Anolis sagrei: one gene and its partners. The protein of the gene in region 1 binds, or shares a complex with, the protein of each later gene. Links are inferred from orthologs where the notes say so. Each region holds a gene or a part of one and is shown in the gene's direction. Other genes may lie near its edges. The genes, in order: OGT, KANSL2, THAP1 and PHF20.

What was found.
Region 2: OGT (region 1) and KANSL2 share a complex: the UniProt entries of both Homo sapiens proteins name them as parts of the NSL complex. The link is inferred for Anolis sagrei from reciprocal best matches to the Homo sapiens genes OGT and KANSL2.
Region 3: OGT (region 1) and THAP1 share a complex: the UniProt entries of both Homo sapiens proteins name them as parts of the THAP1/THAP3-HCFC1-OGT complex. The link is inferred for Anolis sagrei from reciprocal best matches to the Homo sapiens genes OGT and THAP1.
Region 4: OGT (region 1) and PHF20 share a complex: the UniProt entries of both Homo sapiens proteins name them as parts of the NSL complex. The link is inferred for Anolis sagrei from reciprocal best matches to the Homo sapiens genes OGT and PHF20.

Annotation. Positions count from the first base shown.
Region 1 is NC_090030.1:21,093,321-21,101,326, reverse strand, and holds the start of OGT (UDP-N-acetylglucosamine--peptide N-acetylglucosaminyltransferase 110 kDa subunit), read left to right. Parts: upstream 1-5,001; 5' UTR 5,002-5,098; coding exon 5,099-5,135; intron 5,136-8,006. UniProt on the Homo sapiens protein: Catalyzes the transfer of a single N-acetylglucosamine from UDP-GlcNAc to a serine or threonine residue in cytoplasmic and nuclear proteins resulting in their modification with a beta-linked N-acetylglucosamine (O-GlcNAc).
Region 2 is NC_090022.1:137,522,434-137,530,277, reverse strand, and holds the start of KANSL2 (KAT8 regulatory NSL complex subunit 2), read left to right. Parts: upstream 1-4,827; 5' UTR 4,828-4,916; exon of another isoform or gene 4,917-4,942; intron 4,943-4,957; exon of another isoform or gene 4,958-5,050; intron 5,051-7,844. UniProt on the Homo sapiens protein: Non-catalytic component of the NSL histone acetyltransferase complex, a multiprotein complex that mediates histone H4 acetylation at 'Lys-5'- and 'Lys-8' (H4K5ac and H4K8ac) at transcription start sites and promotes transcription initiation.
Region 3 is NC_090022.1:156,694,213-156,702,230, reverse strand, and holds the start of THAP1 (THAP domain-containing protein 1), read left to right. Parts: upstream 1-5,001; 5' UTR 5,002-5,240; coding exon 5,241-5,311; intron 5,312-8,018. UniProt on the Homo sapiens protein: DNA-binding transcription regulator that regulates endothelial cell proliferation and G1/S cell-cycle progression.
Region 4 is NC_090024.1:207,253,676-207,260,973, forward strand, and holds the start of PHF20 (PHD finger protein 20), read left to right. Parts: upstream 1-4,294; 5' UTR 4,295-4,430; intron 4,431-7,298. UniProt on the Homo sapiens protein: Methyllysine-binding protein, component of the MOF histone acetyltransferase protein complex.

The DNA of each region.
Region 1 (8,006 bases):
GGTCCATAAGTGACTATAGAGATTTATTCTGGATCTGTACTGTGTTTCTTTCACAATGAGGACATTGCAGTTAAACGCCAAAAACCCCAAAAAAAACTCCAAGATGATGGCAACCAGACTGATTGATAACTGCCAAATAGAGGGAGAAAACGTGGATGCAGTGACAGAATTTGTATTTCTAGCCATGAAGATTACTGCAGATGCGTTGGCGGGGACGAGAGACAGGGCCTTCTTAGTGGTGGCCCCTTGACTGTGGAATGCCCTTCCCAGGGATATAAGATTGGTCCCCTCCCTCCTGACTTTTCGAAGAAAGGTTAAAACCAGGGGTTTTTTAGCAGGCCTTTGCTAACTCAGAATAATTACACAAAATCATGGAACGACCTGACGATGCAATTGAATAATGATTTTAACAAGGAGATGCCCACAACAATGTTTTTACAGCTTTGTATGGTCTTTTTTATATTTTTATATTTTATGCTAAATGTTTTAACAGTATTTTATGATTGTTTTATTTGTTGATTGTTTTATTTTTTGCCAACTGTGAACTGCCCTGCGTCGTCTTTGGGCTGAGAATATGGCAAATAAAATAAAATAAAATGCAGACTGCAGCCAGGAAATCAGAAGATTTCCTTCTTGGGAGGAGAGCAATGACCAATCTCAATAAAAGAGTGAAGAGTAGAGACATCACACTGGCAATGAAGATAGGCATAGTTAACACAATGGTTATCCCCATAGCAACTTATGGATGTGAGAACTGGACCATAAGGAAGGCTGAGCGAAGGAAGATAGATGTTTTTGAACTGTGGTGCTGGAGGAAAGTTCTGAGAGTGCCTTGGGCCGCCAGAAGATCCAATCAGTCCATCCTCCAGGAAATAAAGCCTGACTGCTCTCTGTATGGAAGGATCTTAGAGGCAAATATGAAGTACTTTGGCCACATAATGAGAAGACAGGAAAGCTTAGGGGAGACAATGATGCTTGGGGAAATGGAAGGAAAAAGGAAGAGGGGCCGACCAAGGGCAAGAGGGATGGATGGGATCCTTGAAGTGACTGGCTTGACTCTGAAGGAGCTGGGGGTGGTGACGGCTGACAGAGAGCTCTGGCGTGGGCTGGTCCAGGAGGTCATGAAGAGTCAGAAGCGACTGAACGAATAAGCAACAACAACCGGGGGGGGGGGGGGGAGGACAAAGCCCCAAACAAACAATGGTTGAGGCATGGAGGACCTTTGGAAGACATTGAGGAAGCCCTGGGAGTCTGGGAGTGTGCTGCTTTCCTCTTGAATCTCTCCAGATTTCATCTGTTTGTGACACCCAGGGTCTAAGTTGTGGTATTCTTGAAGTGACTGGCTTGACCTTGAAGGAGCTGAGGGTGGCCACTGCCGATAGGGAGCTCTGGCCTGGGCTGGTCCAGGAGGTCTCGAAGAACGACTGAACGAATAAACAACAACATTCTTCATAGTATTGCTATTCATTAATCAAATTAAATCAGGCCCTTGTCTCTTGTCCCCTTCAGTGCAGAATCATAGCGGTGAAGATGGGAAATAAGGTTGGGATCTAACACCCCATCCCTGTTTGGCACATGGCCCCACCTGAAAGGGGCTACTTTGGGGGCATTCCTGTGCAAGACTGTGCCCACAGAGGATTTTCATAAATATGTTGGGATCTACTGGATAGGCTTTTGAAGCATGTGAAATGCAATGAAAATGTAATTCAAAAAGCCTTGTTTAATATCAAAGTATGGAAAGCAATGACCAGTCTTGATAAAATGGTGAGGAGTAGAGACATCACACTGGCAACAAAGATCCGCATAGTTAAAGCAATGGTATTCCCCATAGTCACCTACGGATGTGAGAGCTGGACCTTAGGGAAGGCTGAGCGAAGGAAGAGGGATGCTTTTGAACTGTGGTGTTGGAGGAAAGTTCTGAGAGTGACTTGGACCATAAGAAGATCCAACCAGTCCATACTCCAGGAAATGAAGCCCAACTGCTCATTGGAGGGAAGGATAGTAGAGGCCAAGATGAAGTACTTTGGCCACATCATGAGAAGAAAGGAAAGCTTAGAGAAGATGATGCTGGGGAAAATGGAAGGAAAAAGGAAGAGGGGCCGACCAAGGGAAAGATGGATGGATGGCATCCTTGAAGTGACTGGATTGACCTTGAAGGAGCTGGGGGTGGTGACGACCGACAGGGAGCTCTGACGGGTCCATGAAGTCACGAAGAGTCAGAAATGACTGAACGAATGAACAACAACAACAAGGAAAGCAGGGGAAAGGAGTCTTGAGGGAAGGAAGACTTGATAGATTTAGCCTGACTTGGATGACATCCCACTTGCCTCAATGCATTGAGCCCAAAGGCAACCCTAATGGAGAGTTTATTGGGATTCTGAGAGTTTTCCGGGCTTTATGGCTACGCTCCAGAAGCATTCTCTCCTGACATTTCACCCACATCTGTGCCAGGCATCCTCAGAGGTTGTGAGGTCTGTTGGAAATGAGGCAAGTGGAGTTTATATACATGTGGAATAATGTCCAGGGTGGGAGAAAGAACTAGCCTTTGAAAATGACCAGTTCTAACTCAGCCCCACACATTGTCTAATACGGCCTTATTCTTCCTACCAGTTACCCAGATTCTTTCCTCTATTTGGCCCTGGAATGAACAGCCACAGACCCGTACCTCATATTATTTTTGCCTGCCATAGCATTGCACTTAATTTTCGGGGGCCCTAGCATTTTGGGGCTTGCACTAATCTTGGCCTGGCCTTTTAAATTTTTAATTGCCTTGAACAGGCAGGATTACTTTTTATATATGTGTGTTATGGCGACGATTTTTATGCTTATATTTTGTTTGTTAATCTTATAGTGTTTTTACTCTGATGTTTTGTGATATTACTTGGGAACCGCTCTGAGTCCCCTTGGGGAGATGGAGTGGTATATAAATAAAGTATTATTATTATTATTATTATTATTATTATTATTATTATTATTGTCTGTTGGAGGCAAGTGTGAATGTTTAAATTGGCTATTGTGCAGGTACAACTGTGGCAGGAGTTCCAATTTTGTTTGGTTTGCATTTAATGTTTGTTATAGTCCTAAGTTTCAGGGACTCTGCAGATAAGAGGCTTCTTTTGGCTGCAATCATAGGGCAAGCTGCCTGTCAATTATAGTTAGGTTCCCTAGTCCCGCCCCCCTTTTTGGGTTTTGGAGGGAATAGGAGCCAATTTGAGTCCAGTCCACACAGAGAAGTCTTTCATGCAGGACATAATACCAAGAGCTCCTGTAGAAAGCTTTGTCTTCTACGGTTTGGCCGGGAGATATACAGTGTACCGCCTGACTGGGGTTATACAGCCTTACAGCTCCTTTGCTGAAGGACTTCAGCCAGCCATCACTGAAACCTGAACTCCTTCCCCTGGAAGTCTACAAAGCTCTGCTTGGTAAGGGTCGCTCGCGGAAGCCAGAAGCAGTTGGTACCGGGTGCAGGGGCTCCACGCCAACAGAGGCAAAGACAGACTGTCCAGATTAGAAGTTAAGGATTTCCCCATTAGTTACAGTTTATGAAGATAGTGCCTGTTCCCTGTGGACAAGATTGAGAGAGATCCAATAGACTATTAAGAAAGCCTTAAAGTACCTGTTTGTTTTTAATAATAAAGAACTTTGTTGAACATTTAAGCAATCTAAAGACTCTGTTTTAAGGAAATCCAAGGGCCTTTAATCTGAGGCAGCCCCGGCATCCCGTTGGGCACAGAGAGTTTGTGTCCTGTCTACAGTCTTATAGAATCATAGAATCAAAGAGTTGGAAGAGACCTCATGGGCCATCCAGTCCAACCCCATTCTGCCAAGAAGCAGGAATATTGCATTCAAATCACCCCTGACAGATGGCCATCCAGCCTCTGTTTAAAAGCTTCCAAAGAAGTCTACCTTATTTCTTTCACTCTTTTTCTGTTTGAATATTGTTCCCACTCTTTCCCTGTAACCCCATATTATCTGAAAACTTTAATAAAAATTTACTTCAAAAAAAAAAAAAAGCTTCCAAAGAAGGAGCCTCCACCACACTCCGGGGCAGAGAGTTCCACTGCTGAACGGCTCTCACAGTCAGGAAGTTCTTCCTCGTGTTCAGATGGAATCTCCTCTCTTGTAGTTTGAAGCCATTGTTCCGCGTCCTAGGCTCCAGGGAAGCAGAAAACAAGCTTGCTCCCTCCTCCCTGTGGCTTCCTCTCACATATTTATACATGGCTATCATATCTCCTCTCAGCCTTCTCTTCTTCAGGCTAAACATGCCCAGCTCCTTAAGCCGCTCCTCATAGGGCTTGTTCTCCAGACCTTTTGCACAGGCCCAGCGTGCGACAGCACAGCCATGTTGATTAGCATTGAATGGCCTGGCAGCTTCCTCCCTGGGGAATCCTTTGTTAGGAGGTGTTAGCTGGCCCTAGTTGTTTCCTGTCAGGATTTCCTGTTTTCTAAGTGTTGTCCTTTATTTATTTTATCTTATTTATTTTTGTGTGCGAGATAGCTATTTTTGTGTGTTGTTTTCCACATTTTCCCCCATTGGGAATGTTATCACTGAGGTAGAATCCGCCATTTTGTGCCCTGGCGCCTGAGATGCCGTCACTTCCGGTTATGGGAAAACTGCACCGTGGCGAGAGGAGAAGGGGCGGGGCTGCGGGTCTCTTGCCGCAGTCGAACTCCCGCCCTTTTCTCTCCCGTCACTCCTCGCTTCGAACCCCCTCCGTTTACGAGAAGAGGCAGCTCTAATACGCATGCGCGCTGCGCCAATGTGTCGCAGTGTTTGGCGGAGGAATACTGTGGATCCGAGAGGTGATTTGACAATATTTTTTCCGTGTCCCTTTTCTTGTTGGAAATGTTGAGAGAATACGAGAGAGAGCAGAGCAGGAAAGGCTCAGAGTAACGTCAGGAAGGGAAACAAAGGGAAACAACACACCCATCCGCACTAGGAATAGGGACTACTTTTCCTTGGAAGAAGATCCGCCCAGGCCTTGCATCCCTCCGCCTCTCAGCCGCCATTTTAGGAGACGCCGCTTGGGCAAGCGAGGCGCGGAGTGAGTCAGTCAGACAATCTTTCGGCCTCGAAGCAGGAGGAGCAGCGGAAGCCATGGCGGCCTCTGTGGGGAACGTGGCCGACAGCACAGGTATTCCTCGTCAAGGCCTGCCTGTTCATTTTCTCCCGCTTGGGACGAGGCCTCCTCAGTCTCGGGCCTGTTTTCTAGGCCACGCCGAGGATTGGGCCTAAAGGGGGGAGAGGTCGGAAACAATTGTGTCTGGGTCTGTGTGTGTGTGGTTGCTCCTTATATTCCACTCTATTAATAATTGATCGCTGAGGTTTCTCTTAGAAGGGATCTGTTGTTTTCTAAGGAGGCCGAGCACGTGCTTTCTGGCCTCTGACCTTTGGAATAAATCCCTTTAAAATCCCTGTTTAAAAAAACACAGCCTTGTGCTGAGTACAAGGATAGAACTCCTTTAAGAGGATTTAAAGTCGGAGGTCCTTTAGGCTGCCAGGATGTATTTGCTTTTTTCAATAAATACATTATTATACTAGCTGTCCCCTGCCACACGTTGCTGTGGCCCAGTATAGTGATCTGGAAAATAATGAGAAAGTGTTACTTTCTAACCTATGTAATGTCTTCATGCTTGTGAGTAAACAGTATTTCTTTCTGTTTCTTTGTCAGTGTTGATGTGGAGATTGTCTGGTTTGCCTACCCTGGAACAGGCAACATATCATTGTCCTTCTTTAGGGGTCCCTTTCAAACCTTTGATACTGCATCTGTCATCTATCTATCTATATATGCTCTGTGCATAATGAGTACCTTAAAAACAAAAGAACCAATGAACAAAATCACACCAAATTTGGCAACAAAACGTCTCACTACACAAGGAGTGACCATCACTCAAAAATTATGATTTTGTCATTTGGGAGTTGTAGTTGCTGGGATTTATAGTTCACCTACAATCAAAGAGCATTCTGAACTCCACCAATGATGGAATTGAACCAAACTTGGCACACAGGACTCCCATGACCAACAGAAAACACTAGAAGGGTTTGGTGGGCATTGGCCATGGGTTTGGGAGTTGTAGTTCACCTACATCCAGAGAGCACTGTGGACTCAAACAATGATGGATCTGGACCAAACCTGGCACAAATATTCCATATGCCCAAATATGAACACAGATTGAGTTTGAGGGAAATAGACCTTGACATTTGGGAGTTGTAGTTACTGGGATTTATAGTTCACCTACAATCAAAAAGCATTTTGATCCCCTCAAATGAGAGAATTGGGGCAAACTTCCCACACAGAAGCCCCATGACCAACAGAAAATACTTAAGGGCATCCAGTCCAACTCCCTTCACCAGGGCAAGAAAACATAATCAAAGCCCTCCTGACAAAGAGCCATTCAGCCATAGATATAGATAGATGTATATGATTCACACACACACAGATATAATATCCTAGATTTGAAAGGGACCCCTAAAGAAGGACAATTATATGTTTCCGAGTAGGCAAACCAAACAATCTCCACATCAACAGTGACAAAGAAACAGCAAGAAATACTGCTTTACCTACAAGCATAAAGGAATTACATATATTAAAAACTAGCATTTTCTCATTACTTTATTTTCCAGATCACCAGACTCGGCCACAGCAACGCGTGGCAGGGGACAGCTAGTATACATATATTTGTGTGTGTGAATGGCCAGATGGCCCTTTGTTAGGAGGGCTTTGATTATGTTTTCTTGCCCTGGTGAAGGGAGTTGGACTGGGTGGCCTTAAGGCAGCATTTCTCAACGTGGGAAGTCAAGACGGGGGGGGGGGGAGGTCACCAGGGGGGTGTCAGAAGGGTCACAAAAAACCACCATAATACACAGTATTTTCTGTTGGTCATGAGGGTTTGTGTGGGAAGTTTGCCCCAATTCTGTCGTCGTTGGGGTTCAGAATGCTCCTTGATTGTAGGTGAACTATAAATCCCAGTAACTACAACTCCCAAATGTTAAGGTCTATTTTCCCCAAACGCTATCTGTGTTTATATTTGGACATATGGAGTATTCGTGCCAAGTTTGGTCCAGATCCATCATTGTTTGAGTCAACAAAAACAAAGATACACACTACATAAGCCAAAATTTGACAAATTAATAAATTATAACATGCCACCGTACCATTAAAAGTTCCCTGACTCTCAGGCCATTAAGGATAATATTAAAAAGACTTATCCTAGGGTCCCAAAAATTCCATTTCCTTTAGGCCATGTTAAAATATTGCCGGTCCAAAATAGCATTCCAAAAAATATACAATTACAGTAGAGTCTTGTTTATCCAACGTTCTATTATCTAACACAGTCCATTGTTGGAGATATAAATAATCCTTGTTTGGTTTGATTCTAAATTTGTAAATACCGTAATTACTACATAATTTTACTGTGTATTGAACTGCTTTTTCAGTTGATTTGTTGTCAAACATGATGTATTGGTGCATACTTTGTAAAATTGTAACATAATCATAATGTAATTTTACATTTAATAGGCTTTTCTTTAAGCCCTCCTTATTATCCAACATTTTCACTTATACAACATTCTGCCGGCCCGTTTATGTTGGATAAGTGAGATTCTTCTGTACTTGTATCTATCTGGCCATTGCCTGTTGTTGAATTTCAGAAAAGGCCTGGTTCCATAGAAAGGTTTTAACTAAAACAAACATATTAAATTGACACCAAACCATCATCCAAAAATAGTACAGTAATTATTCACTGTGTTCCAGACTTCTCTATACCATTCTTCCAGTTGAATTTTGCTTTTATCTTCTCATTTTTTTGCAGTTATCAGTCTCACTGCTGTTAATAGGTTGGAAATAAATTCATTCACTTCTTGTGAAGATAAAATACTATCATACAATGATAATAATGCTATTTCTGGTGTACCTTTTATTATACATTATTATATCTCACCTTCTTGAGAAATACAAGCAGGACATAATATTACTTAATATAATAATATTATTAATAATTCATAG
Region 2 (7,844 bases), on another chromosome or scaffold:
GATGTTCAATCCATGGGGTCCAGAGTAAGTATGGGCCCACTGCATCTGTCCATTCCTGCTATGTATCAAATCTGATGCAAGAAATACTTATCTTCTCTCCACCTGTACTCATATTGTCATGACAGCCTTGGATATGGTGTAGTTTAGTGCACGCAATGTTACCAGCAGATAAAAACCATTAGCCACAAAAGTTGTATAGCACGGGGTTGTATCTCTGGCCTCAAACTATGTAGATTTGAGGGGTAAATTCTGGGGAGGGCATTTTGTGCACTTAATCAGTTGCACAGGAAAACAACAAAGGTCTGCTTTCTGAGCTCATACAGGCCAGCTGCAGAGACCAGGATGATTCCCTGAGAATAGTTTGTTCTATGTGGCAGTCTACACCCTTGCAAGCAACATTATGTCAATCCCCTATAATTATCCCCTATAATTTGATTGGAAATCTGAATCAGTGTGGAATAGATAAGAACGCTGTCAGATGGAACTATTACACTATGCAACACAATTTTTTGTTCCTGAGTTATAAATGTCATTTTCTAATTGGTTCTGTCATAAAAACAGAAAAAAATATTAAACTACAAACACTTGAGTTTTTGCAGTATATCCTACAGCACATAGTTTTTCAATGAGTGTCTCACAGAGTCTCAACCATTCAGGATAGTTTGTAGAAGCCACAAAAACAAAGTTTCTGGAATATAAAAACTACTTCCCAAGAAAGTACTGCAAAATTAAACAGGAAATAACATCTTCACAAAATAAAACCCAGAAACATTTTTTTTTCAAATTTTGTTACATAATATTGGTTGAAAACACTGTTTGAAAAGTCGTCATCAGTAGCTTCAAACTGGAAGGAGTTCTCAAGTGGAGAGCTTCGGGTTTCTCTTCCAGCGCTTTTACAAGTGAAAATTTTTATCAGTTATTCAGATGACAGGATAGAGGAAATCCTTAGCAGGTTTACAGATGGCTAAAAAATGGAAGGGGTGGTCAACACACCGGAGGATGGGAACACTTCAGAAGAAACTTGTTGAAGTATAAAATTAGATACTAAAGGAAGTCAATAGTATATATTGAAAATTCTACATATAGAGCACAAAACCCAGAAGCTGGTGATACTTGGCTCAGCCGTACAACATTTGAAAAGAACTTTGGGATGATTGTTGATCATACATTGAACACAAGCCAGCAGTGTGATGCTGCAGCAAAAAAGGTGAAATCTATTCTAGCCTACATTAATAGAACCATAGTTTCCCAAGTTGAGGAAAGTAATAGTCCCACTATATTCTGTGCTGATCAACCCTGATCTACATTCAATTCCAGGTACCTCATTTAAAGGATTATGGGTTGAAGCAAAGATAGATAATGAGGATAAGAAATATGGAGAGCAAAATGTGAGAAGCTGAAGGAGGTGACCACGTTCAGCTTGGTGAAGAGAAGACTGAGGGGTGACACGATTGTAGTCTAAATACCAGTGCTATTGCAGCAAGGAAGGCCTACCCTCTGCAGCTCTAGAAGGTTGGACCAGATTTAACAGTTCGATTTTGATTGAGCATTTGAAGTGTTCAGCAATGGAACCAACTGCCTAGGGCCTAGAGAGGTGGTGGGGTCTCTTCCTCTGGATGCCTTCAGAAAGAGGCTAGATGGCTTCCTTCTCGAGATGTTTGATCTTGCACTGAGGAGGGAACTGGATTTGGCGGCCCATGAGATCTATTCCAATTAAATGGCTGAGTTGCTGGCAACCCAATGTGTGTGCCACTGTTTTGTCTGAGTTCTAATTAATAAAATCTGTGGCTGTGTTCTCCGTCTTGTTCCTGTGCTGATAGATAGGGATGTATTTCTATCATCTAGCCTTGGAATGAGGCTTTATGCAGATGGTTTAGTGGAAATGCCCTCCACTGTTTTCATACAAAGAGGTAGGCTTAGGATGTGTACATAATTGGAATTGCTGTCAAGGTATACGAGATGTTTAACTGCCATCAGGTTGATTTTGACTTAAGGTGATCATAGAACCATGAAGTTGGAAGAGATCATGCAGCAATCCAGAAACCCACAATCAAATAGTCATTCAGCTTCTACTTAAAGATCTCCAGAGAAGAAAAGTTCACTACCCTGCAAGACAGCATATTCCATTGCTGAACAGCTTTTATCGTCAGAAAGTTCTTCCCAATGTTTAGGTGGAATCTCTTTTTCTGCAATTTGAATCTATTGCTCCATCATGTCCTAAGAATGAGGGACCACCAAGTCACCTTGCCATCAGCCACGCTGTATATGAGGAAGTTGTTGCCAAGTAGTAATGCCAGTTACCACTTGGCATTAAAATATTGGCTCATTTAACTGCTACGTGGCTGGCATAGGTGTCCTGGGTTTTCTGTTCCCAAATTGAAATGAACCTGCTACACACACACATTGCCATATGTCCTGTGTTCACAAAATGCTGAAGGCAGGGCAATGGAAAGTAGAACGATGGGAGCATGAACCTAAGCATTCAAATGTTTATTGTAGGCTGCCAGTGGCATAAGCACTGCTTCTTAAACTGGGTGAAGACCTCAAATGGGGTCCCCTTGGCTCAACATCAAGGTTGCGATAAATTTCTGAACATTTATACAAATCTGCAGTGTTTACAGTGGACTTGGCAAAAAATACTTCAGACGTACACAGAAATGAAAAAATGAGCTTGATTAGCAAGCCTTGCAAATACTGATTTGTTATCATGCCTGATTTCTATACCCATTTAGTGTCATGTAAAAAGTTTTTCGATCCAAAAAGGGGTCATGAGTGGAAAATGGTTTAAGAAGCTTGGTATCAACCTCTGGCCACATCATGAATGAAAGATAAACCGACTTAGGGCTTGGATACAGAATGTGTGTGAATGAAGGTATTTAGCAAATCTAAGAAGTCTGTAAACCACCGTAGCCATACAAAAGGTAAAGTTAGGTTTTTAATATAAAATATGTGTATGCGTGTATAAAGCATTCGAACTTGGGGCCCTCATGGCGGGCTGGAGTGGGGTGGGCGGACCAGGAGGAAGGGGGTTCTCACCAAGCCACCTCCGTGCCCTTTACTCCCCTTTCGGAGGCAGAAAGTGAAGGAGAGACCAGAAACCTTTGAATGCTAATTGGGTCAGGATGAGATGGTGGATGAGAGAGAAAAGTGTATCAATTAGACTCCGTATTGCCTCCTCCTGATACAGAATCCTAGAGCCAGAAGAGAACCCCCAGGGCCATCCAGTCCAACCCCCTGCCATGCAAGAAGGTACAATCAAAGCACTCCTGGAAGACAGCCTTTACAGAAAAGCCTCCAGAGAAAGACACTCCACCACACTCAGGTAGCCTATGCTACTCCCCAGGAAGTTCTTCCTAATCTTTTCAGTTTGAAACTCTTTTTCTGCCATTTGAAACCATTGCTCCCTTGTGGCCTGGTCTCTAGAGCAACAGAAAGTCAGTTTCCCCCCTTCTCCTCCTCAATGGGACACCCTTTGAAATCTTGAAACACAGTTCTCATGTTCCTCTCAACTTCCGGACCCAGCTTTCATACTATTACCTAAGGGACGCCTTCTGCATCCACGAAGACCCTGCAACCCAATTCCAGCGGATACAAAGGGACGGCTGTATTTAAAGAGAGAGCTTCCTGTATTGTCAAAGGCTTTCATGGCTGGAATCACTAGGTTCTTGTGGGTTTTTTCGGGCTATATGGCCATGTTCTAGAGGCATTTTCTCCTGACGTTTTGCCTGCATCTATGGCAAGCATCCTCAGAGGTAGTGAGGTCTGATGGAATTAGGAAAATTGGTTTATATATCTGTGGAATGACCAGGGTGGGACAAAGGACTCTTCTCTGCTGGAGCTAGGTGTGAATGTTTCAACTGACCACCTTCATTAGCATTTGAAGGCCTGGCTGAGCCTGGGGGAATCTTTTGTTGAGAGGTGTTAAGATGTGCCTGATTGTTTCCTCTCTGCTGCTTTGCTGTTGTAATTTTAGAGTTTTTTAATACTGGTAGCCAGATTTTGTTCATTTTCATGGTCTCCTCCTTTCTGTTGAAATTGTCCACATGCTTGTGGATTTCAATGGCTTCTCTGTGTAGTCTGACATGGTGGTTGTGAGAGTGGTCCAGCATTTCTGTGTTCTCAAATAATATGCTGTGTCAACAAAAGATTCCCCCAGGCTCAGCCAGGTCTTCAAATGCTAATGGTGGTCAGTTGAAACATTCACACCTAGGTTCTTGTGGGTTTTTTCGGGCTATAGGGCCATGTTCTAGAGGCATTTCTCCTGACGTTTCGCCAGGAGAAATGCCTCTAGAACATGGCCCTATAGCCCGAAAAACCCACAAGAACCTAGTGATTCCAGCCATGAAAGCCTTCGACAATACATTCACACCTAGCTCCAACAGAGAAGAGCTCTTTGTCCCACTCTGGTCATTCCACAGATATATAAACCCATTTTCCTAATTCCAACAGACCTCACTACCTCTGAGAATGCTTGCCATAGATGCAGGCGAAACGTCAGGAGAAAATGCCTCTAGAATATGGTCATATAGCCCGAAAAAACCCACAAGAACCTAGAGAGCTTCCTGTTTCAAAAGGACCTAAAAAAGCGAGACGCGCCCTTCCTTCCGGCGGAAGGGAAAGCACGCGGCCGCCCTGCTGTCACTCAACCTCAAACCCCGCCCTTGCTTACGCGACAAGCATCGCAGCCAATAGACCAGTCGGACTCTTCCCGCTCTGAGCAATGTCCATTAGCCTGTATCGTTCAGTGGGCGGGGAGAAGGAAGGAAGGAGAGAAGACCGGCACCTCATTGCTCCACCTCATCTGAGTGACGCCTCTTTTAACCAATCGCGGCCGTGCTCAGGCCGTCTTCGGATTGGTCGGCGAGCCGAGCGCTGGAGGCCTTGCGAAGGTGTGAGCTGAGAACACGAGAGGGAAGGTAAGATGGCGGCGGAGGGGCCCGAGGTGAGGCGGCGGGGAGAAGAAGGCCTGCTCGGATTGTCTGGGCCTGAGAGCGGTTGTAATGGCCGAAGGAGGCGGAAAGACAAGGAAAGGGTCCCTGTTACTCAGCTGGTTAGGGGCAGGGCCTGTACTTCACGTCTACCCGTTAAAACAACGGCTTCGTTTGCTTTCCCTGCTGGAAACAGGCGATCTGTAGTTAGTAAGCCTGGTGCCAAGGGAGACGAGGGAGGGGACACAGGGGAAGGAGGCAGGAACGCGCGCCTCGCCTTCGAGGGCGTTGAAGCAGAGGAGGCCTGGAAAATGGATCCAATTCAGATGGAAATTGGGAAAGGGTGGCTGCTACTTCTTACAGTGAGCTCTCGGTATCCGCGGAGGTTTGCTTCCACCCGTGGGCGCTGAGTATAGTGGTGTTCCTTAGTTCAAACTAGCCAGTACACTCGGCGTTATCTGCGCCTGCATTGGTTCCGTGGCTCTTCAGAACTTACCTACCATGTAACTTCTCTATGGGAATGATATGGGCGCCTGGGAGGCCCCTAAAAGCCTTTCTATTTCTTTCCTTCCCTCTCTCCCCCTTCCCTCTCAGTCACGTGACAGAGAGCCACTTCACCTAGCAACAGCCAATCTGCTTTGTTCCTTTCCCTCACCTCTAGTTGTTGTTTTTTTAGTCAAAACCCCTCAATTATTTTAAATTGGATTATGATAGGCACATGTGCTATGTTTGGTCCAGATCCATCAAGCTATAGAAGAGCCTTTGTGGTATAAGCATACATGCATGCACACACACACACATACATTCACTTTAATTATATACTAACCCCCGGTGGTGCAGCGAGTTAAGCTGCTGAGCTGCTGACAGAGAGGTCGGCAATTCTATTCCCGGGAGCAGGTTAAGCTCCCGTTGTTAGCCCCAGCTTCTGCCAACCTAGCAGCTCGAAAACATGCAAATGTGAGTAGATCAATAGGTGCCACTTCAGTGGAACGTAACAGCACTCCATGCAGTCATGCTGGCCTCATGACCTTGGAGGCGTCTACGGACAATGCTGGCTCTTCGGCTTAGAAATGGAGATAAACACCACCTCCAGAGTTGGGCACAACTAGACTTAATGTCAGGGGAAACCTTTACCATTGGTACCCAGTGATGACCAGCTTTTGTATTTGGTAAGGATAAAAGTCATGCATACTTTTTCGGTTTTATTAATAGTTCCATTAGAAAATGTGTAAGGATGTGGATAAACTACCACTCACCTTCTGCCATTGCCCCCTTCCACCCACCCCGCAGTATTTACAGTTGGTCATAAGGGATCTGTCTGCCAAGTTTAGTCCAGATCCATCATCAGTGAGGATCACAATGGTCTCTGTATGTGGGTGGGCTGCAGCTCTCATAATCTCCCCCCCCCCCCAAAAAAAAAGAAACCCTCCAGTATTTTCTGTTGGTAATGGGAGTTTTGTGTGCCAAATATCCCAGATCTAGAACAACAACAATATTTATTGCGGTCCATAGACCCAGCAGTAAAACCAGCAGTCATTATAAATTCTCCCATCTCAGGAGAAGTCCATTGTACAAGATAAATCTACATTGTATTGTCGAAGGCTTTCATGGCCGGAATCACTCAGTTCTTGTGGGTTTTTTCGGGCTATATGGCCATGTTCTAGAGGCATTTCTCCTGACGTTTCGCCTGCATCTATGGCAGGCATCCTCAGAGGGTGAGGTCTGGAGCTGGGAAAAAAGAGAGGGTTTATATATCTGTGGAAAGACCAGGGTGAGACAAAAGGCTTTTGTAAGATGGGCTAGGTGTGAATCTTTTCAATTGACCACCTTGATTAGCATACAATGGGCTGACTGTGCCTGGAGCAAACTCTTAATGAAATGTGATTAGATGTCCCTGCCTGTTTTTCTCTCTGTTGTTTTAATTTTAGAATTTTTTAAAACTGGTAGCCAAATTTTGTTCATTTTCATGGTTTCTTCCTTTCTGTTGAAATTGTCCACATGTTTGTGGATTTCAATGGCTTCTCTGTGTAGCCTGACATGGTGGTTGTGAGAGTGGTCCAGCATTTTTGTGTTCTCAAATAAAATGCTGTGTCCAGGTTGGTTCATCAGGTGCTCTGCTATGGCTGATTTCTCTGGTTGGAGTAGTCTGCAGTGCCTTTCGTGTTCCTGGATTCTTGTTTGGGCGCTGCGTTTGGTGGTCCCTATGTAGACTTGTCCACAGCTGCATGGTACACGGTAGACTCCTGCAGAGGTGAGAGGATCCCTCTTGTCCTTTGCTGAACGTAGCATTTGTTGAATTTTCTTGGTGGGTTTGTAGATAGTTTGTATGTTGTGTTTCCTCATCAGCTTCCCTATGCGGTCAGTGGTTCCCTTGATATATGGCAGGAACACAGACAGGTCACACCGTCTACAGAAAACCCACACACACAGATAGATATCTACATAAAAACTCCAACCATCACCCAAGTCAAAAAAGAAGCACCATCAAAGCCTTGGCAGACCGTGCAAAAAGAATCTGTGAACCCCACCTCCTCCAAGATGAACTGAACCACCTCAACTGGGCTCTACAGGCCAATGGATACTCCACCTCAGACATCAGAAGAGCTGCAAGACCAAGAACAAGCCACAAGAGTAAAGATGAAGATCCACCCAGAGGAAAAGTGTTCCTGCCATATATCAAGGGAACCACTGACCGCATAGGGAAGCTGATGAGGAAACACAACATACAAACTATCTACAAACCCACCAAGAAAATTCAACAAATGCTACGTTCAGCAAAGGACAAGAGGGATCCTCTCACCTCTGCAGGAGTCTACCGTGTACCATGCAGCTGTGGACAAGTCTACATAGGGACCACCAAACGCAGCGCCCAAACAAGAATCCAGGAACACGAAAGGCACTGCAGACTACTCCAAC
Region 3 (8,018 bases), on another chromosome or scaffold:
GTTAACTGTAATCTATTGTATGAAGGATAAATTAGAAATAATTAAATATGTGATCAACTATTAAATGGTCAGATTTATTTTTCAAGGAAGATAACTCATAAACAAAGTCTAACAAAGGCACTTCTGGCCATAGCAGCTACCTTGGTCTCCGGGAACAACACTTCTAAATTATAAATCTTATCCCTTTGAGCCATGCCCAAGGTGGACTGTATATCTATATAAATAAAAATGTAATGTTCATTTGTGGGATTAACATAACTCAAAAACCAATGGATGAATTGACATAAAATTTGGCCACAATACACCAACTATACCAATGTATGTCGTTCACTAAAAAAAACAAAAAAAAAAAACAAAACAAAAATAACCGGAGAGAACTTAAAACCCCCACAAAGCTAAATGACTATACAGAGCATGCGTTAAAACAACACCCGCACCCCTCCCTCCTGCATGAGGAAAAAAAACCCAACAGCTTAGAGATAGGTGGCTTGACAGAGGGAGGGAAAGGTGGCCCATATAGCTCTCTCGCTACCCCCTGCCTCTCTCTTCCCAAAGGATTGAGAGAGAGAGAGGGAGGGAGGGAGGGAGGGAAAGAGAGAAGAGGACACCCTCCTCCAGATCCACCCCTCCCCTTCCTTTCCTTTCGCTTCCCTCTTGGCTGCCTGGGACTCGGGGCGCTTGGGTCGGCAGCATGGAGGCGCCTCCACTAGGCTGCCGGGAACTCACACGGGAGGGATTGTGTGTGTGCGCGTATGTGTAGGCACACACATACCTATATGCACACATATCTCTACATATTTCAACTCCTAGAAAGCTCACCCATAATGAGTTATGGGAAGGAATTCTGGGAAATGAAGTCCAGTATTCAAAGAAAGGACAAAAACAGGGAAGGCACGCACTGTGAATTAGGAAAGGCTGTCCAGGAAGACACAATCAAAACACTCCCAAAAGATGGCCATCCATTTTTACTTTATAGCAACCCTGGGCTATAATATCTACAATAATAATGTCTATATATCTATCATAATATTATCTATACGTCTATAATAATATATATATGTCTATGGTATCTATATGTCTGTAACAATAATATCTACAAGTCTATAACAATATCTGTACGTCTGTAATAATAATGTCTATATGCCCATAATAATATCTGTAGGTCTATAATAACATCCATATGTCTATAATATTATCTATCTGTCAATAATATCTATACATCTATAATAATAATACCTGTCTGCCTATATCCGTGACTATAATAATAATAATAATATCTATATAGGTATAATATAGGTATATGTATACATCTATAATAATAGCTATATAATATCTATAATAATAGTAATATCTATATGCCTATAATAATATCTATCGGTCTGTAATAATATCCATACATCTGTTGCCCATTTTTGCTCAAAAAATATTTAGCCCTGTGCTCCTTCTATTTTTTACTAGTTTTCTACTAATTTATGCAATGCTTTTGATATGAAATAAATAAATAAATAACATCTATAATAATAATACCTATATGCCTCATAACGCGTGGCTGGGTACAGCTAGTCAGACTATAAAACTGTATTTCAACTTTTTTTCTAGACTGGATTAAACCACATAGGTTTTTGATGTATTTGCATACCGCCTCTGCAGCCCTTAGGGAAGAGCAATGTCAGTACATGCCACGCAGCAGGTGCAAGAGGTGGTAAACTCATGTATTTTTTCACCAGGTGCACTTATTTAATTGTTGCTTGGGAAAATATATTGAAACTATGGTTGACCAAAATGCTTACACCCTAACCCTTAAAGCAAGATGAGGGAGCTACGCACACTGATTCAGACAAATTTCTACAGTAAAAGAGGGTGCTGCTCAGCTGTACACATAAATAAAAATGTTATGGATCTGTTTCATTTCTTTTGATGGCAACACATGCAAGGCAACCTCTAAATATGAATAGCAAGTAGATGCTGAAGAAGCATAGCAGATATTGTCATGATCTGTGGGGGAGGGGAAAGCTGATGGATATGTCAAAAACGTAAAAAAATGTTATTCTCTTCCCATAACATATACTGTTGAAGGTGTTTCTTCAACAGTATATTTTCCACTGGACAATGCCTAGTCATTTGAAAAATCATGTTATCATCTTTTTTCTCTTTAAAAATGAGCCTATATCGAAGCCAGCAAGGTTCCTCATTACTCAATTGTCCAATGCTTTCACTCTATCTGTAAGGTGTTTTGTGGGATTTTTTTTTTAAAAAAGTCAGGGCATAAATGTGTAAACAAAGATTTTTTTTTTGGTCGTGTCAGGAGCGACTTGAGAAACTGCAAGTCGCTTCTGCTGTGAGAGAATTGGCCGTCTGCAAGGACGTTGCCCAGGGGACGCCCGGATGATTTGATGTTTTTATCATCCTTGTGGGAGGCTTCTCTCATGTCCCTGCATGAGGAGCTGGAGTTGATAGAGGGAGCTCATTCGCCTCTTCCCGGATTTGAACCTGCGACCTGTCGGTCTTCAGTCCTGCCAGCACAGGGGTTTAACCCACTGCGCCACCGGGGGCTCCTAACAAAGATTATTAATATTATTATATATATACTCTACTTTATATTTCCCAGAGGGGACTCAATATATTCATAAGCAAGCATCCTGTAAAACCAGGAACGGGGAACCTTACACTGAGATGCCAGACCTTCTCGTTCCAATTTTAGTATATGTGCTGCCGAAGCGAGCACGCCAGACCTTCTCCAGGAGATCTTTATGCAGTGGTTTCCTAGATTTTGCAATGGGTTGCCATTTCCAAATGTACTGGCTCTCACACACAAATGAGCCAAGAGTGCATTGTGTGCACAGTAGTGATGCATTCAGACACCATGTGAAATAAATGTCTCCCTACCTTGTTTCCATCCTATGGGATCCTTGTGTCTGTAGTCTAGTTTAGCCTGAAGCTAAACTCTTCGCTGGACAGCTCCATTTAACTCATCTGAACTACAAACCTAGATCTCTCTATTGCAGCAAATTCCAGAGAAATCCCAGTCATGGCAGTCAAAGTGGACTCAAACAGAGTTAGTGCTTCCCTAAGATGCCTCTAACAAGGAGATGCTCATGATAATGTTTTTATGGTTTTGTACAATTTTTATATTTTACACAAATGTTTTTCACAATATTTGATGAGACATCAAATGTTGCCAACTGTGAACCGCCCTGAGTCGGTAAATAAATAAATAAATCTAAACAGTGGCTTTAATGCAGTTTGACACCACAAGTGCCATGGCACAATGAGATGGAATTGTGGAAGCTGTAGTTTTGTTGTTGTTCATTCGTTCAGTTGTTTCCGACTCTTCGTGACTTCATGGACCAGTCTACGCCAGAGCTCCCTGTTGGTCTCCACCACCCCCAGTTCCTTCAAGGTCAATCCAGTCACTTCAAGGATACCATCCATCCATCTTGCCCTTGGTCGGCCCCTATTCCTTTTTCCTTCCATTTTCCCCAGCATCATACTCTTCATATTCATCATACCACAGTTCAAAAGCATCTATCTTCCTTCGCTCAGCCTTCCCTATGGTCCAGCTCTCACATCCGTAGATGACTATGGGGAATACCATTGCTTTAACTATGCAGATTTTGTTGCCAGTGTGATGTCTCTACTCTTCACTATTTTATCTTGAGCTTGTTTGGAGGGTCTAGCAGGGGAGTGCAGCTATCGTAAACCCGGGACTGAAGACTGGAGACCTCGGTACACTCCTTCTATACCTGGGACGTTGTCCTCTTCCACCGAGCGCACAGCGGTGAGGGAGGAAGGGGACACCCGCCTAGCCAGCCAGATCAGCCGAATCAACCCTGGCAATCAATGGGGTGACAGATGTCGCAGTCAGATCGCCCTCACATCCTCTTGCCCTGACACGACAAAAAACAAAGCAAAACACTATTTTATCTCACCAAACGACATCTCCAATGATTCTGCAGCACTGAGTCATGGGAGTTTAAAGTGGTATCAAGCTGCATCATTCCTACAGTGTAGATGCATGCCCAATAACTTGTTAGTGACAGAAATAACACTCGGCAGCCATGATACTAACAGGAGCGGAGCGCAGGGAGCATACAACTCCTCTGCTGCACCAGCTCCACTGGCTGCCGATTTGCTACCGTGCTCAATTCAAAGTGCTGGCGTTGGCCTATAAAGCCCTAAATGGTTCTGGCCCAAGCTACCTATCCGAACGTATCTCTGCCTATGAACCCACCAGGACTCTAAGATCTTCTGGGGAGGCCCTGCTCTCAATCCCGCCTGCATCACAAGCATGGCTGGCGGGGACGAGGGACAGGGCTTTCTCTGTGGTGGCCCCTCGGCTGTGGAACACCCTTCCCATGGACATTAGATCAGCTCCTACGTTAATCGTGTTTCGAAGAAAACTAAAAACCTGGCTGTTTGAACAGGCATTCGGATAAACAGTGCAATGAATACGATGAATATAGGAACGGAATTATAGACGACAAATTGGATCACGATTCTAGTTACGAGACGTTAATGTGTTGTTATTGATGTGTCATTACTTTGTATATTATGCTCTTAATGGTTTTTAAATTGTATATTGTTATGATTGTCTTTTTGCTCTTGTTGTGAACCGCGTTGAGTTGCCTATGGGCTGAGAAACTGCGGTATACAAAGTAAGTAAGTAAATAAATAAATAAATAAAAAGACACTTGCAACTCAGTCCTACACTTATATAGAAATAGAGAAATACAAATATGTTCACCGTCTCAAGCTTCGTTTTAAAACCGGCCTAAAATCAGAAGCAAGGAAGGGACAACTTGAAGTAAAGCACTAAGCCAGCGCTTTCGATCAGGGTAGTAAGCCACTGCGCATGCGCGCGCGCCTCTTGGCGGGCCCAGGCGCCCAAATGCAGCCCGTGCGTCAAAGCCCCGAGCGCCGCTCTCATTGGCCGGGCCGAGCAGAAGCGAGGCGCACCAAAACATCGCGGGGAGGGACCAATCGCCAAGCCTGGCGCCGAGTTCTCGAGAGAGTTCGCCTGAAGCTGGCACCGCCATGTTGGAGTAGGGAGAGGCCACATCCCGCTGATGTCGTCCTTTAGGGTTTACCAATGTTTATTATTTTTTCAGAGAAGGACGCTAAGGCCCCGCTGAGGCCCTAAGGGCAGGGCGGCGCGGCCTATCCTCCTGTTGGCCCATTCCTGCCGAAAACGGGAGCAAAGCGGTGGCGGCCGAGGATCCGTGGCGAACGGCAACGAGAGGATGGTGCAGTCCTGCTCTGCCTACCGTTGCCGGAATCGATACGACAAAGAGAAGCCTATCTCTTTCCACAAGTGAGTGGGAGGGGCGGGGGCAGGAGAGCTCGCAAGGAGAGAGAGAGAGCGAGCTGTCCTGCCTTGAAAGGGAGGCGGAGCCAGAGCGCATGCGTGGACGAGTGCGCGCGCACGCTCCTTAGAGAGGGAGGGGGGTGCCTCAAAAAAAGGTCTCTAAGCAAAGAAAGCAAGGCTGGGGTAGTCGCGCGCGCACGCACGCACGCGCACCCCCTCTTTTTTTTCTCTCCCTCGCGCGCGCAGGCTTTCAACAGAACCGTTGGGACTGAGGCTTGACTTTGAGGCCTTGGAACGCGCGCCCGTTTCAACCGTCGCCTGACTGACAGTGACGTCGGAGGGCTGTCATTTTGTTTTCAAACTGGTCAAACGGAATAGTCTCTTGGTCATGTTGCTTCAAAGCTCCATTTGTTTTAGATATTTGGCCAACTGTCAGAAATTCATGCAGGTGAAGTCCAAAACACCTGGAAAAATCAGGCATAATGGCAATCATGGACTCATTCCTTATCAGGATAAGCCCTAAAAAAGGTGAAGGGCAAAATATGTACATGTCGCATGTGTGATATATTGTGGGATGTTAGGGGATTTCATGGTGTAAAATGAAGGCACCATCCATGACATCGGTGGACTTGTTGGTAGTCATTCAAGTATTTATTTCATGTCAAAAGCATTGCATAAATTAGTATAAAACTGATAAAAATAGAAGGAACGCAAGCAGCTAAATATGTTTTGACCTTACTTACTTAGGCAATCCCTCATAGTCCGAGGATGATGGTCCTCCAAGGTTGGTGGGTCTGTAGGTGACTGTGGAGCCCGATTCTTGACATGCATCTTCTCCCGCAGTGAGGGCATTGGTGGAAGACTGTCCCGGTTGGGGTTGGCTTGACGCACCTTCCTCTTGGCACGTTTCTCTCTTTCACCCTCCATTCGTGCCTCTTCAAATTCTACAGCACTGCTGGTCACAGCTGACCTCCAGCTGGAGTGCTCAAGGGCCAGGGCTTCCCAGTTCTCGTTGTCTATGCCAAAGTTTTTAAGGTTGGCTTTTATTTATTTATTTATGTATTTACTGCGCTTATATACCGCAATTCTCAGCCCAAGGGCGACTCATTGCGGTGTACAACATGAAAAAACAAGTGCAAATTACAAAACATAGTGCAAAATAATCTACAATTCATCATTATCAGAAAAACATCTTATCAAAACATCAACATTACTACCAAATTTCTACTACATTCCGAATCGTCTCATCGTCAACCCACAATCCGATATCATTTCCGTTGTTCCATTCCTATGGTCAAATTACCAGTCATTGCACTTCTTGGTCAAATGCCTTCTTAAATAGCCAGGTCTTTAACTTCCTGTGGAATATCAACAGGGAGGGGGGTAGCCTGATGTCCACGGGAATGGTGTTCCACAGCCGAGGAGCCACCACCGAGAAGGCCCTATCTCTCGTCCCCGCCAGCCGTGCCTGTGACGCAGGCGGGATCGAGAGCAGGGCCTCCCCGGAAGATCTCAAAGCTTTGAGCCCATCTTTAAATCTCTTTTCCTGTCCACCAACATTTTGTTTTCCGTTTTTGAGTTCAGAGTAGAGCAACTGCTTTGGGAGACAGTGGTCTGGCATCCAGACAATGTGGCCAATCCAGCGGAGTTGATGGTGGAGGACCATTGCTTCATTGGTGGTGGTCTTTGCTTCTTCGAGCACACTGACATTTGTCCGCTTGTCTTCCCAAGAGATTTGTAGAATTTTTTGGAAGCAGCGCTGGTGGAATCATTCGAGGAGTTGCATGTGACATCTGTAGATAGCCCACGTGTCGCAGGTTTATAGCAGGGTTGGGAGGACAATAGCTTTATAAACAAGCACCTTGGTATCCTTATGGATATTCCATCCTCAAACACTCTCTGCTTCATTCAGAAAAATGCTGTATTCGCAGAGCTCAGGTGGTGGTGTATATAAGTGTCAATGTTGACTTTTGTGGTGGCTTTTGTGGTGACAATTTCCGCTGCCAAGGTAGCGGAAATGGTCAACATTTTCTAATATTACACCATTAAGCTGTATCTCTGGTATTGGAGAGGGATTGACTGGTGACTGCTGGAAGAGCACTTTGGTTTTCTCGATGTTTTGACCAAAAACGGGCAACACCAATGGCATTGTCTGTGTTGTTGTTGTTTATTCGTTCAGTCGGTTCTGACTCTTCGTGACCTCCTGGACCAGCCCACGCCAGAACTCCCTGTCAGCCGTCACCACCCTCAGTTCCTTCAGAGTCAAGTCAGACACTTCAAGGATGCCATCCATCCATCTTGCCCTTGGTCCACCCCTCTTCCTTTTTTCTTCCATTTTCCCCAGCATCATTGCTTTCTCTAAGTTTTCCTGTCTTCTCATGATGTGGCCAAAGTACTTCATCTTTGCCTCTAATATCCTGCCCTCCAAGGAGCAGTCGGGCTTTATTTCCTGGATTATGGACTTGTTGGATCTTCTCGCTGTCCAAGGCACTCTCAGAACTTTTCTCCAACACCACAGTTCAAAAGCATCTATCTTCCTTCACTCAGTTTTCCCTGTGGTCCAGCTCTCACATCCATAGGTTACTACAGGGAATACCATTGCTTTAACTATGCGGATCTTTGTTGCCAGTGTGATGTCTCTACTCTTCATTATTTTATCGAGATAGGTCATTGCTCTCCTCCCAAGAAGTAAGTGTCTTCTGATTTCCTGGCT
Region 4 (7,298 bases), on another chromosome or scaffold:
ATATTCAATCTGTCTATACAAGAGTAAACATACACTAATACATTAACATTTTGGTGCCCTCTCAAGACATCCCAAAACTACCGCCTCAGCCATTGTGCCTAATAGAAGCCATCTAAGTATGTGTTTTCCATTTCTGTTATCTCTTATCTAAATAGCCAATGTGGTATAATGATTTGAATATTATGCTAGGACATTGGGAGACCAGGCTTCGAATCCTCACCCGTCCTGGAAACCCAATAAGGCCACATCTACATAAACAATGTAATGCAGTTTCAAAGATTGTTTTGAAAAATCACCACAATATTTAGTACACCAGGCAGGGGCCAAATTTGGCCCTCTGGGTTTTTTGGACTTCAACTCCCACCATTCCTAACAGCCTCAGGCCTCTTCCTTTCCCCCCTCAGCCGCTTAAGCATCTGAGGAGGAAAAGGAAAGGGCCTGAGGCTGTTAGGAATGGTAGGAGTTGAAGTACAGAGTTGAAGTACAGGAGTTGAAGTACACCCAGAAGGCCCAAGTTTGCCTGAGGGGAAAAAGGAAAGGGCCTGAGGATGTTAGGAATGGTGGGAGTTGAAGTCCAAAACACCCAGAGGGCCCAAGTTTGCCTGAAGGGGAAAAGGGCCTGAGGCTGTTAGGAATGGTGGGAGGTGAAGTCCAAAACACCCGGAGGGCCCAAGGTTGCCTGAGGGGGTAAAGGAAAGGCCCCAAGATTGCTAGGAATGGTGGGAGTTGAAGTCCAAAACATCCAGAGGGCCCAAGATTGCCTGAGGGGAAAAAGGAAGGCGCCTGGGGCTGTTAGGAATGGTGGGAGTTGAAGTCCAAAACACCCTGAGGGCCCAAGTTTGCCTGAGGGAAATAGGAAAGGGCTCGAGGCTGCTAGGAATGGTGGGAGTTGATGTTCAAAACACCCGGAGGGCCTAAGTCTACCCATGCCTGTCCTACACTTTCCAGTCACCCCTTAAAACTACTTACTACACAGGGCCATATAACCCAGAATATCAAGGTGGAAAATAATAATAAAACTAATAATAAAACTTTATTTATATACAGCTCTATCTCCCCAAGGCGACTCAAGTAACAAACACCAAAACATACATAAACATAATATTATCAAAACAACACAAATATATTAAAAATAATCCTGCCTATTTGTGCTTGTGACACAACACTGTTATAGTACAAGTTTAGCATCCTTTATCCAGAGACTGAAAATATTTCAGAATCAGAAATTCTCTATTTAAGTGTCTTAAGATAGTGGTGCTTTTGCTTTCTGGTGGTTCAGTGGACATATACTTTGTTTCAGGCACACAAGGATTAAAATATTTTACCCCTTCAGGTTCTGTATATAAGATGTGCACGACACATACATGGAATTTCATGTTCAGACTTGGCTCCCATCTCCAAAATATCCCATCATGCCCATATATACAATACAGGCAGTGCCCAAGTTATGAGGAAGTTAGGTTCTGTAGGTCTGTTCTTAAATTGGATTTGTATGTAAATTAGAGCAGGTTCATTTTTTTAAGCGTAACTCCATCCAAATGTGTGTCCAAATATGTGTGTGTCTGTATTTGAAGCTTGAAACCACTTTAATTGCCATATAAAGGTAAAGGTACAACACAAAGGTAAAGGTACAACACATATAAAGGTAAAGGTACAACACAAAGGAACAACACAAAGGTAAAGGTTTTCCCCTGACATTAAGTCCAGTCATGTCCAACTCTGGGGGTTGGTGCTCATCTATTAATATTTATTTATTTACAACTTTTATATTCCGCCCTTCTCACCCCACAGGGGACTCAGGGCGGATTACAATGTACACATATATGGCAAACATTCAATGCCAATTTGACATACAAACATATACAGACATACACAGAGGCTATTTAACTTTTTTCTGGCCACCAGGGGAGCTGTCGCTTTCATCGTCCATCTGCGACGCTGATGAAGCACTTCCGCATTCCCTGCATGCTTCCCCGCTGGAATGCTTTGCTGGAGTCTTCTTTATGGCCTCATAAATCAGTTAATTTAGCCTCCCCACACTTTAAGGTTGTACCTTATTTTCCTACTTGACAGATGCAACTGTCTTTCGGGTTGCAAAGGTTGACAACAGGCTACACACAATTGTTTGGAAACCCACTCCAACCCGGGCTGGCTTCGAACTCATGACCTTTTGGTCTGAGTGATCTTAATGCAGCTGACACTCAGCCAACTGCGCCACAATCCCGGTGCGCTCCATTTCTAAGCTGAAGAGCCGGCATTGTCCGTAGAATCATAGAGTTGGAAGAGACCTCATGGGCCATCCAGTCCAACCCCCTACTAAAAAGCAGGAAAATAGCATTCAAAGCACCCCTGACAGATGGACATCAAGCCTCTGCTTAAAAGCCTCCAAAGAAGGAGCCTTCACCACATTCTGGGGCAGAGAGTTTCACTGCTGAACAGCTCTCACACTCAGGAAGTTCTTCCTCATGTTCAGATGGAATCTCCTTTCTTGTAGTTTGAAAATCCCACAATATATGCTTTAAACTGTGTTATCTGAGTCCTGCCATACAGGCCTGTAGCGAGGGGGGAGGGGTTAGGGGATCAACCCCCCCCCCGAAATGTTTCAGATTTTTTTTAAAAACCTGGTTTACTCATGAATTTTAACTGGTGAACCAAATCCCCATGCTAAGTCTATGAGATGCAAAAAATTAAGAGTCCCTCCAGAACTGTAAGCACTATCTCAAGCAAATATTGACAATTTATTCACACTGTCATTACTTGCAGGAATAGCCAATGTTGTGAAGCAACCAAGTTGGGGTGTGTGTGTTGAATGCTCTCATTAAGGAGGCCAGACTTGGTGGAGGTGGTTGACAGGGGCGGAGCTGCAGGCTATTGAAGGCTGCTCTGCCCTTTGCTGTGCTCTTTGCTTCAGCGTGAGCTAGGAGGCAGGCTTCAACACCCCCAGGGCAGCTCACCCATTACGCAAAGTAAGCATTTGCAGTATAGTTGATTTTGCCCAGGGGCGCTCTTGAGGAAAATAGACATTGACATATGCAAGTTGTAGCTACTGGGATGTATGTTGTTGTTCATTCGTCCAGTCGTCTCCGACTCTTTGTAACCTCATGGACCAGTCCACGCCAGAGCTCCCTGTCGGCCGTCACCACCCCCAGCTCCTTCAAGGTCAGTCCAGTCACTTCAAGGATGCCATCCATCCATCTTGCCCTTGGTCGGCCCCTCTTCCTTTTGCCTTCCACTTTCCCCAGCATAATTGTCTTATTTATTTATTTATTTACTTTGCTTGTATACCGCAGTTTCTCACCCCGTAGGCGACTCAACGCGGTTCACAACAAGAGCAAAAAAGTCAATCGTACAACATACAATATTTAAAACCATTAACAGCCTAGTATACAAATAATGACACATCAATAACAACACATTAGCATCTCGTAACTAAAATCGTGATCCAATTCGTCATCCATAAATCCGTTCCTATATTCATCGTTCAATTGCACTATTTATCTGAACGCCTGTTCAAACAGCCAGGTTTTTAGTTTTCTTCGAAACACGATTAACGAAGGGGCAGATCTAATGTCCATGGGAAGGGAGTTCCACAGCCGAGGGGCCACTACAGAGAAGGCCCTGTCTCTCGTCCCTGCCAGCTGTGCTTGCGATGCAGGCGGGATCGAGAGCAGGGCCTCCCCAGAAGATCATGGCGCTCCTTTATCTTCTCTAGGCTTTGCTGTCTCCTCATGATGTGGCCAAAGTACTTCAACTTTGTCTCTAGTATCCTTCCCTCCAGTGAGCATACATACATACTGGGATGTATAGTTCACCTACAATCAGAGAGCATTCTGAACTCCACCAGTGATGGAACTGAACCAAATATGGCACACAGAACTCCCACAACGAACAGAAAATATATATCAGTGATTGGTTGGGGGGGTGGGGTGCCAAAATACTGTTTGCTTACCGTTGAAAATTACCTAGGGCCGCCGCTGAATTACCTAGGGCCCCCCGCGAAATTTTCAACCCCCCCCCCCGAAAATTTCAACCCCTCCCGAATATTTTTTCTGGCTGCGGCCCTGCTGCCATATATCCCAGTTCAAAGAGAATCATGTGGGATTTTATCCAGCAGCGTCGAAGGGCCGTCCAAAAGTCAGCACCAACTCCCTGTGTTCTGCCTCAGAGAGGAAAAAGGCTGTGAAGTGACTGACAGTTGGTTCCCTTCTTAGGCCAACCGTCGTCCCGTTGACGCCACGCCCCCTCGCCTTGGCCACGCCCCCTGGAGGACCCTCCTTCTTCTCTCTCTAGGCAGGCGGGCGAGCGAGCTAGGGGCGCCGCAGCAGCCGTGGCGGCCATTTTGTGGCGCTGCTGCTCACAGCGGAGCGCGCGCGCGGAGGAGGAGGAGGACCCGCTCCCTCGCTCGCGCCTCTTCCCGCGCGAGACCCCCGGTAAGGACATGGCGCTCCTTCATCATCTTCCAAGTCGTTGTTTGGATGGAGGGAGAGGGGAATAGAAAGCGTGGCTCCCTCCGCGGCCCTCACAAAGGCGGCGGCGGCGGAGAGGGGCGGGGACCAGCCGCGGTTGTGACTGTGGGAGTCCCGGGGCCTGGGAGGGGTGGAAGGGTTACTTGTGCCGCAAGGGAGCCTCCCTCACGACCTGCTCTTCAGGGAAAGCGAAGGAGGGAAGCTGGGTAGCGGGCCCGCGGGCGCCTCTAGCCGGGCGGGATGTGGGCGTAGGGCTCGGCGGCCTGCTCTCGTGTGAGAGGCCGCTTCCTCTCCTCTCCTCGCCACGCGTCCCGCCCTCTTCCTTTCCCTTTCCCTTTCCAACGGTGGCCCGCAGCCAAAGGGGAACGGCACCAGCTGCGCCTTCCTTGAGCCTTCTCCGGGATGATGGCTTTCGAGGATAGCCGTAACGTGACCTTGATCTTCACCAGCCACGCTTCGGCATCAACCCCTGTCAGACCCTTTATGATTAGACCAATGTGGGTTCTGCATTAAGCCTACACATTAACCCCTTTCAGAACCATTATCGTGGCCAGCGTGGGTTCTGCCTTATCCACACACATTAACCTTTTGCAAAATCTTTGTCATGACCAATATGAGTTCTACATTAACCCCACACATTAACCTGCCCCCCTTCCAGCCAGGACCTTTATCATGACCCTTGTGGGTTCTTTGCTAATCCCACGCATTAACCCCTTTCTAAACCTATAAAGAACCTATACCAGGAATGATAAAGGTTTAGAAAGGGGTTGGTGCATGGGATTAACACAGAACCCACAGTGGCCATAATAAAGGTTTAGAAAGGGGGTTATTTGACACGACAAATAAACCCCTTTCTAAACCTTTATTATGGCCACTGTGGGTTCTTTGTTAATCCCATGCACCAGCCCCTTTCTAAACCTTTATCATTCCTGGTATAGGTTCTTGGCTCTTTATTAACCCCAAGCATTAACCCCTCTCAGAACTTCTATTATGACCAGTATGGGTTCTGCATTAACCCCACACATTAACCCCTTTCTAAATCTTTATCACAACCGAGGTGGGTTCTGCGTTAACCCCTTTCAGAACCTTTATTATGACTGGTGTGAGTTCTGTTTTAACCCCACATATTAACCCCTTTCAAAACCTTTATCACAACTGATGTGGGTTCTGCAGTAGTCTCACACATTAACTTCTTTCAAATCGTTTGTCATAACCGGTGTAGGTTCTTAATTAATCCCATGTGTTAACTACTTTCAGAACTTTTATTATAACTGGTGTGGGTTCTGTGTTATACACAATATTAACCTTTTTCAAAACCTTTGTCATGACCAATATGGGTTCTGCATCAACCCCATACATTACCCCATCAGACCCTTTATCATGATACTTGTGGGTTCTTTGCTAATCCCATGCATTAACCCCTTTTTAAACCTTTATTATGGCCACTGTGGGTTCTGTGTTAATCCCATGCATCAATCCCTTTCTAAACGTTTATCATGCCTGGTATAGGTTTTTTTTATTAACTCCACACGTTAACCCTAAGCATTAACCCCTCTCAGAACCCTTATTATGACCAGTATGGGTTCTGCATTAACCCCACACATTAACCCCTTTCTAAATCTTTATCACAACCGAGTGTATTCTGCATTAACCCCCTGCATTAACCCCTTTCAGAACCTTTATTATGACTGGTGTGGGTTCTGTATTAACCCCATGCATTAACCCCTTTCAAAACCTTTGTCATAACCGGTGTAGCTTCTTCATTAATCCCATGCATTAACTACTTTCAGAACTTTTATTATAACTGGTGTGGGTTCTCATTAACTCCTTTCAAAACCTATATCATAACTGATGTAGGTTCTTTATTAACCCCACACATTAACCCTTTTCAGAACTTTTATTACAACTGGTGTGGGTTCTGTGTTAACCCCACACATTAACCCCTTCCAAAATCTTTTATCATAACTGGGGTGGGTTCTGCATTAACACCCCACACATTAACTCCTCAGTGTGCATCAGTGCTCAGTGGTTTCTATAATCATAACCTCAAACTTGGTTTCAAGATTTTCTTTGTAAGCATTTGCATAACAAAATTTTTATTTATTTATTTATTTGGTGCATTTGTTAACCGCCATTCTCAGCCCTTTAGGGCGACTCATGGCGGTGTACAACATACATAAAAAGGCAATTTACAAAAAGGCAATTACAGAACAACATATTAACAATACAACAATTATAAAGTTACACTAAATAATCCGCTTCGTCTCATAGTGGAATCATAACCAATCTCATATTCCTTGTTCCATTCCAGTCATCTTTACCACATTATTATAGCACTTAATTAAATGCCTTCTCGAACAGCCATGTCTTAAGGCTTTTTCGGAAGGACATGAGGGAGGGCGCCTGTCTGATGTCTGCAGGGAGAGTGTTCCACAGCCGGGGGGCCACCACCGAGAAGGCCCTCTCTCTCGTCCCCGCCAGACGTGCCTGTGAGGCAGGCGGGATCGAGAGAAGGGCCTCCCCAGACGATCTCAAGGTCCTCGTGGGCTCATAGGCCAAGATGCGGTCCGAAAGGAAAACCACTTTCTTCAGTACTGGTTTGAATCTGCATTAAATGGCTGGCCTAGATGGGGCCTCAGTGGGCTTCCATGAGAATTTGAACTATGGTCTCCCAATGTTCTAGTACAACATTCAAGCCACTTTATCACACTGGCTCTTTAGATTGGGGCCACCTTTTTTCTTTTATATGATAAAATTGTAGCACTGGGTTTTATTTTCATTTGCGTAGTAGCTGTCTTTAGTCAGTATCTGTTTGAGAGCAATTTTCTGTAA